Lonchura striata: one gene and its partner. The protein of the gene in region 1 purifies or fractionates together with the protein of each later gene. This does not show direct contact. Links are inferred from orthologs where the notes say so. Each region holds a gene or a part of one and is shown on either strand. Other genes may lie near its edges. The genes, in order: RBM19 and FBXW11.

Region 1 (3,903 bases):
GAAGCTGTAGGTGCCTGTTCAGGTAGGAAAGGACCTGCAGTGTTTAGTAACCCTCCAGGGATTCTTTTTATTCTGTGATTTTGGAGCTCTCACAACACAGCATCCTCTGGCTGTGGGGTTATTTAGCCGTGCCTTGGAGTGAATCTGCTTTTATTCATAGAATCACTGAATGGTTTGGATTTGAAGGGACCTTAAAGCTCATCACACTCCATCCCCTGCCATGGCAGGGACACCCTCTGCTATCCCAACCTGGCACCTTGAAAACATCCAGGGATCCAGAGTTTTCCTGGACTTAGACCCTCTGTCCCCCTTCTGCATGACTTCTAGGTGTGACATTGAGGCTCTCTGTGCCATCCCCCCGTTATGTGTAGTAGATATAATTCACGCCATTTCTAATATGATATATGTGATATTGAATATTTGTTGGAGTATACACGTTTGTATTAGGAGTGCCCCCACCCTCGCAGGAGAAACCTGGTGTATGTTGAAACCCGATTTACAGGTAAAAGGGAGAATGACCTGAGATGGATCTCATGGAAATCCTCGGGCAGATCCATGTGAATGCAGCGTTCCCATAAATTCCATCAAGGGATTCAACAACTTGGACACTGAATTGTTTTTCATCACCAAAAGAGGAAAATCTTATTAAAATATGGACTCTGAATGGAAGAAAAGACTGATTGCTGAAATCTTGGCCTCAGGCGAAATTTTCCCCATAAAAACCGCTTGTGCCAGGATGGAGGTGTGTGGGCACAGAGTGAAACCTCTGCTGAGGCTGAATTCTTGTTGCACACCCGGGGCCGACCCCGGGCTCGGCTCTGTCCTTTCCTTGTGGCTGGCTAGATAGAATTTGAATTGCAAAACAAATATTTTTTTTTCCATTTTAATTTGGCTGGACAAATTTTCATTTATAACACCCAAAGGCAAACTCGACATCTCTGGCGAGCCTTTGGCTCAGCGGCCGGCCGGAGGCGGGAGCGGCGGGCGCGGAGCTCCCTCCTGCGGCCCCGCCGAGCAGCGCGGGCGGGCCGGGAGGCTGCGGGGAGCTCTGCGGGGATCTCCGCGGGGAGCTCCGCGGGGAGCAGCGGGGGTGCCAGCGCCTCCTCCCGCCGCCCGCCCCGCCGGGCCGCCCGGGCCGGGGCCGCTCCCGCCGCCCCGCAGGCCCCGTTGCTAAGGGGCCGTTGCTAAGGACCAACATCCGGGTCCCCGCGCGCATGCGCGGCGCCGCGCGCGGCCCACGTGACCCGGGAAGATGGCGGCGCCCGTGGCGCGGCGTGCGCGGCGCTGAGCGCTGTCTCCGTGCCCTCTCTCCGTGCCGGCTGTCGCTGCCATGTCGCGGCTCATCGTCAAGAATCTCCCCAATGGGGTGAGGCTCTGTGCTGTGCCGGGTCTAGGATGGGGCTGCGGGTGCTGCGGGGGGGAAGCGGAATGCCGGGCAGGGAGAGGCAGCGGGAGGGGAGAGTGTGGTAGGGATGGGGGAGAGTGGGGAGACGCGCAAGGAGAGAGGGTTAGGAGTGGTGGGAGGGTGAGCTTCTGGAGGAGATGTGCCGGGGGAAGGGGCAATGAGGGGATGCGGGTCGCGGTCAGTGCTGGGGTGGGGAACATGGGGACACTTCGAGGGGAGGATGGTGGGAGAGCTCCTGGAGGAGTCAGGAATGTGCAGGAAGCAGCATGAGGGGCATGGGCTGGCAGCCCCTCAGCATGGGCAGTGCTCGTTGTGGTCGCTGTGCCCCGCTCGCTGTCCGGGAGTTGGGTGCAGGTGCCCTCGGTGCTCCTGTGCCCGGCAGGATCCCGCCCTGTTCCCCATCCCCACGTGCGGATTCCTGGGTACAAGAGCAGGTTCGGTGGCTGAAGTGGGGATTTGGTTCCCAGTGTGCTTCCTGCAGCCTTCCAGAAGGCTTTTGAGACAGAATATGTTGGGTTGGACTTGTCCTCAGCGGCTGTGTGGGGCTGATTTCCCTTGCTGCTGCCTCCCTCCTTCTCCAGATGAAGGAGGAGCGTTTCAGGAAGCTCTTTGCTGCCTTTGGCACGCTCACTGATTGCTGCCTCAAGTACACCAAGGATGGAAGGTTCCGGAAATTCGGCTTCATTGGCTACAAGTCAGAGGATGAAGCTCAAGCAGCCCTGAACCACTTCAACAAAAGCTTCATCGACACCTCCAGACTCACGGTGAGCTGAGCTCCAGAAATATCTCCCTGAGACTCCTAAGGAATAGGGTCTTAGGGGGAGATTCTTCCCTGGGAGGGTGGGGGGGCCTGATGCAGATTCCCAGAGCAGATGTGGGTGTCCAAGGCCAGGCTGGACGGGGCTTGCAGCACCCTGGGACAGTGGAAGGTGTCCCTGCCATGGCAGGGGGTGGCACTTTAAGGCCTTTTGCCACCCAAACCATCCTGGGATTCTGTGCCTGCCCACTCCTGACTCTCCCGTGGTGATTGAATGTGTAGCTCTGTGCTTGTAAAAGTTGTTCCTGCACACTCCCTCCATCCCATCAGGAATTGCTGAGTGGAGTTCCCCAGCAGTTACAGCCCTGTGTTTAATGACCTGACTCATTCCAGGTGGAGCTGTGCAGGTCTTTTGGTGACCCTACAAAACCCAAAGCCTGGAGCAAGCACTCTCAGAAGGCCCCTGCCTCAGAGAAGCAGACCAAGGAGCCCTTGGCAAGTGCAGCTCCTGCAGGCACAAAGAAGGTGAGTCCTGCCTGATTCCCGGGGCTCTGCTGGGTGCCAGTGCCAGGGGAGGGTGGCCTGGCCGTGGGGAAGGGGCAGAGCAGGTGGCACACCAGATTCTGGACTCCTGGTGTTCTGTGCCTCAGGGTCTGTTCCCTGTGCTGCTGGAATTGCCTGTGCTTCTAATAAACCTCTCTGGGTTTTTCCCAAGGGTAAAAAGAAGAAAGATCCAGTGGATAACTTAAAGGAGGTGAGTTGAGGTTGGACTGCTGTCCCTGCATTCCTGCTGCTGAACTGCTCTTTTCTGTCCTACTTCCCACGCTGCTGATTCAGGCTGGGGCAGCCCAGTTCCAGTGTAAAAAATAATTTTAACAATCCCAACACAGGGATTTTTTAATGGTCAGCTGCTCCTGTGAGCACACACTGCATCCAGGTCTGCTCTGTTTCAGAGTTCTGGGGTTTAAACATATGTGAGTTGTCACATTTATCTTACCTGTTTTTTTCTCTTTTATTTCCTCTTTTTATTGTTTTGTTTTCCTCTCTAAAGTAAATTTTCTAAACAGCAATTATAAAAAAGAGTAGGAATGAGACACCTTTAGAAGACTTTAATCACCTTGTCAGTGAAAATTGAGCTCCCCTTAAGGGATTTTTGGTTTTAGAGTGCTGGAAATGAGGTGATGTCTTGGATTTCAGATTCACTATAAGTATTTTCTCTTTTTTTGGGTTTTTTTTTTTTTTCTTTTTGGGTTTGTTGGGTTTTCTTGTTTTGTTTTGATTTTGGGGTTTTTTTTTGGGGGGGGGTTGGGTTTTTTTTTTTTTTGTTGTTGTTGTTTTGTTTTTTGTTTGTTTGGAGGTTTTTTGTTTTGATTTTTTGGTTGTTTTTTTCTTTCCCACAGCTAAAGGAAGATAAAACATTCCAGGAGTTCCTGGGGGTTCACCAGAAGCGGTCCCAGGTGGCCACTTGGGCTAATGACACCTTGGCAGAAGAGCCTAAGAAGGCAAAACCAGCAGCAGCAGATTACCTGAACTTTGATTCAGATGAGTCTGAGGAGCTGAGTGAGGGTGGGGATGAACCCTCTGAAGATGAGGAGGAGATTAAAGGTACCCGAGGGAGCTGTGAGCCTTTGCTTGTGTCAGTCACAGTAACTCCTGCCACAAGGAGTGACAGATTGGGCTCAGTGCCACCAGGAGGGTGGGCTCTCACCTTTCTGCGTGCTGGCAATGTCTGCCTGTTTGC
Region 2 (3,903 bases), on another chromosome or scaffold:
CCCGTTCTTCTTCCATTCCCGCTCCCGTTCCCATTCCCTTTCCCGCTCCCGTTTTCTCTCCCTTTTCCTGTTCCCATTCCTATTCCCGCCCCCCTTTCCTCTTCCCATTTCCATTCCCGTTCCCGTTCCCCTTTCCTGTTCCCGTTCCCCTTTCCCGTTCCCTTTCCCGCTCCCATTTCCGCTCCCGTTCCCGCTCCCGTTCCCCTTTCCCGTTCCCTTTCCCGCTCCCATTTCCGCTCCCGTTCCCCTTTCCCGTTCCCTTTCCCGCTCCCGTTCCCCTTTCCCTTTCCCGTTTCCCCGCTCCGTTTCCCGCTCCCGTTCCCGTTCCCCTTTCCCGTTCCCTTTCCCGCTCCCATTTCCGCTCCCGTTCCCCTTTCCCGTTCCCTTTCCCGCTCCCGTTCCCCTTTCCTGTTCCCGTTCCCCTTTCCCATTCCCTTTCTCGCTCCCATTTCCGCTCCCGTTCCCCTTTCCCGTTCCCGTTTCCCCGCTCCGTTTCCCGCTCCCGTTCCCGTTCCCCTTTCCCATTCCCTTTCCCGCTCCCATTTCCGCTCCCGTTCCCCTTTCCCGTTCCCGTTTCCCCGCTCCGTTTCCCGCTCCCGTTCCCGTTCCCCTTTCCCATTCCCTTTCCCGCTCCCATTTCCGCTCCCGTTCCCCTTTCCCGTTCCCGTTTCCCCGCTCCGTTTCCCGCTCCCATTCCCGTTCCCGCTCCCTTTCCCGCTCCCCTGCGGGCCCCTCACGCCGCGCCCCGGCCCCGCCCCTCCCCTCCCGGCATCCCCCGCGCGCCGCCCGTGCCCAATGGTCAGCGCGGAGCCGCCCCGGGGGCGGGGCCAGGCGCGTCGGGGCCACGCCCCTTCCGCGAGCGCCGTGACGTCACGGCGGGCGCAGCGCGCGTGCGCGGGCGCGCGGCGGGGGCGGGCGGGCCGCGGCGGGGCCTGGCGGGCGCGGGGCGGCGGCGGGGCCGGGCCGGGCGGGCGGGCGGAGCGGAGCGGCCGCCGCGATGGAGCCCGACTCGGTCATCGAGGACAAGACCATCGAGCTCATGGTGAGTCGCCCCCGGCCCCCGCGCACACCCTCCCGGGCCCTCTCGCCCCCCCCGGCTCAGGCCCCGCCGGCGCGCCCGGCCCGCGGGGTCCGGCGCCGCCTCCGCGGGGCTGTGCCGGGCCCGTGCCGGCCCCGCGGGGCGATCCGCTCGCTCCCGCCTCCGCCGCGCTCCCGCGGCCCGCCCGGGGCGCCACGAGCGCCTGCGTTTCATTGGAAATAAATAAATAACTACAATGAACCTGGCGGGAGGCAGGGCCCGGCCGGGGCACGAACCGAAAGCGAAATGCCCCGGGCGGGACGGCTCCGGCTCCAGCCCCTCCCCGGGCCGGCCGGAGCCCTCCGCGCCCCCGGGGGCGGATCAGACCCCGCCGGGGAGCCTCGGGGCCCCGGGCCGGGGCAGCACCGGTGCTGCAGCTCCGGTCCAGCACACTCGGAATTACCTAACGAGACCTAATTGGTGTATTGGTTATACTCCTAATTAACGCTTACACCGCTAATTTCGCGTTAGTGGAGAGGCATCCAGGTGGGAGCAGTAGAAAGAGGTGCTGAATTTTTTTTTTTTTACTATAAGCAAATTAGATCTCTATAGGCAAATGGAGACTCCTCGTTTTACTGCATTAGGCGTGAATAAAATTAAATTAGGAGTAGGGAGAGAATAGTAGTCGGTAAATATCTTCTAATTTATTTGTTAGAAGCATAATTGCTTTTTCTCCTAAGTGTAATTTGCTCTCACATACAGAATTTCATACAGTTCTCCAGAACTGAGGGGCAAAATGCAAATAATTTCCCTTTAATGCACTCTGAAGGTGAGCTGGGTTCAGTGGAGACATAAATGTGTTTTTTAGCGAGTTGAGTTGTTGCTAAACTACCTGATCCAGAAAATACGAACTTTCTTCAAGTGTGCTATCTGGTCTCAAAAAGCAGAAATAAAATGAGAAAGAAAAAGAGGAACGTAGAAAGCCTTTGTGTATCTTTCATTAATGTTACTGGTCACTGAGGGCAGGGGCTTAAAAGCTGTTCCTAGGGAGCCTCCTCCCCTGGTGCTGTGGTCTCACACTTGCCCTGGGGGGCATCAGAGCCATCAGTGCCCTTAGCAGGGAGGACAAGGCTTGGCAGCTTTGTGGGGATCCAGCTCAGGGCCAGCCACCCTGAGAGATGCCTCCTAAATTCCTGGGAATTGGGCTCTGGTTTTTTCCTTCCGTGGAACAGTCACCAACACTCCTCTGCTTTGAGTTCTGTGAGTTGCTCAGGTAGCATTTGGAGCTGGAAGGTTTGGCTCCCTCAACTTTCAAAAACCGCTTTTCCATGTTTTCGCAAGTGCTCTCCCATTTTAGTCTCTCCTCTTTGCGGCCAGGTTGTATCAGGAGGAAGCAAATGGGACTTTTGCTGATGAGTGTTGTATCCTCCACTTGCTGGAGCCGGGAAATGTGCTAATCCGTGCAAATATCTGTGGGGTTAATAGGAGTTTTAGTATGTAGTAGGAGGTTTTAGACATACACTTTTCTCTCTTTCATAAGAAACTGATAAATATAAAAATTGAGTGAGATGAACAATTAATTCTGTGGTTGCCAGGAGAAGATGGTATACAATGTATAAATGGTTTACAATGTAGTTGAATTTAATGTTAACCTTAGTGGAGGCTTGCACAAGATCACTTATGTTTGAGTGGAGATGTTTCCCTAAAAGCATTGAAAATCACTCCTAAATGCAGATGTGGAGGTTTTGCCTTCTGATGTGGTGCAGAAGGGGAGATTCGCCAGGAGATTGGTTTGAATCCACAGGGCAGAAGCTGTTTGGGCTGAGTTCCCTGTTGGGAATTTCTTTGTGATCTGGAAACGTGGGAGTTGGTGCTGTGGGAAACATCCCAAACCCAGGATCTTCCCTGCCTGGCAGACTTGGGGGGATGCTGCTCTTTTTAAGAGTGTTCCACATTCCTAAAAGATGTTTGATACCTCTTCTTGATCAGGGAGATGGGGTTTGGTGCATTGCTTCCTTCCAGTGCCAGGGATGAATCTGTAGTAAATACAGGAGCAAATGTGTGATCTGAAAGTTCTGAGGAGCAAATACACTGTAATTCTGAGGGGCTGATAAACAAGAGGTTATGTGTCAACATGTTAATTGCATATAAGTTTCAGAACATGCTGCTCTAGCCCTGAACTGTGCCTTCCCGGATTGATCATTTGCATTTATTTAAAGGAAAATCAGTCATGGAAATAATACTGTTCTATTTTTAAGGCTGGAATCTCAGATAAATATTTCAAAGTTTCAGAGTGACAACTTTGATTTGCTGTGTGAAGTTTTAGTGAGTATTCCCAAGCCACTGTGTCCCTCAGATCAGCTGAACTCTTCCCGTGCTGTGTGCTGCTTCTGTGGATGCTGTCCTTAGTCATTCCCAGGGGGATGAGCATTGAGTGATGCCATTCACAGCTTCCACGTGCAGGTGGTGCCCACCTGTATGGGTGGGATACCCCCGAGGTTAGCTGGGACTGACTGGTTTGCCCAGGCTGAGGCTCCCTGTGTCTGGCAGGGCTGGGGCTGGTTCAGTCGTGGGCTCAGGGAAATGCTGGGTGTCAGCAGGCGGCTGAGGAGTGAGGAGGTAATCCAGAACAGATGGAGGACCACTCATTGAAAGGGCTCGTTCTGCCCCTGGTTTTGGTTTTCTCAGTGAAATTAGATAACTGTGACCTTTTTGCTCTTTTGAAGAACCAACTGCAATGCTTTGTGAAATAAGTTTTGTTACCTGCAGATCAGAGTTGTGTATAAAATCTGTGTTCAGTTGCATCAACCCTGTGATTTGCATTTACCTTCAATATGTGCTAAAAGCCTGTTCTTAATTTTCCCAGGAAGCTTTCCATAATTGTT

Evidence for each region.
Region 2: the proteins of RBM19 (region 1) and FBXW11 purify together in Homo sapiens (affinity purification with mass spectrometry; 3 studies listed by BioGRID and IntAct, with this or other methods). This does not show direct contact. The link is inferred for Lonchura striata from reciprocal best matches to the Homo sapiens genes RBM19 and FBXW11.

The regions. Positions count from the first base shown.
Region 1 is NC_134620.1:5,705,965-5,709,867, reverse strand, and holds the start of RBM19 (putative RNA-binding protein 19), read left to right. Parts: upstream 1-1,213; 5' UTR 1,214-1,330; coding exon 1,331-1,366; intron 1,367-1,986; coding exon 1,987-2,169; intron 2,170-2,555; coding exon 2,556-2,687; intron 2,688-2,877; coding exon 2,878-2,916; intron 2,917-3,562; coding exon 3,563-3,767; intron 3,768-3,903. UniProt on the Homo sapiens protein: Plays a role in embryo pre-implantation development.
Region 2 is NC_134617.1:17,021,934-17,025,836, forward strand, and holds the start of FBXW11 (F-box/WD repeat-containing protein 11), read left to right. Parts: upstream 1-951; 5' UTR 952-997; coding exon 998-1,042; intron 1,043-3,903.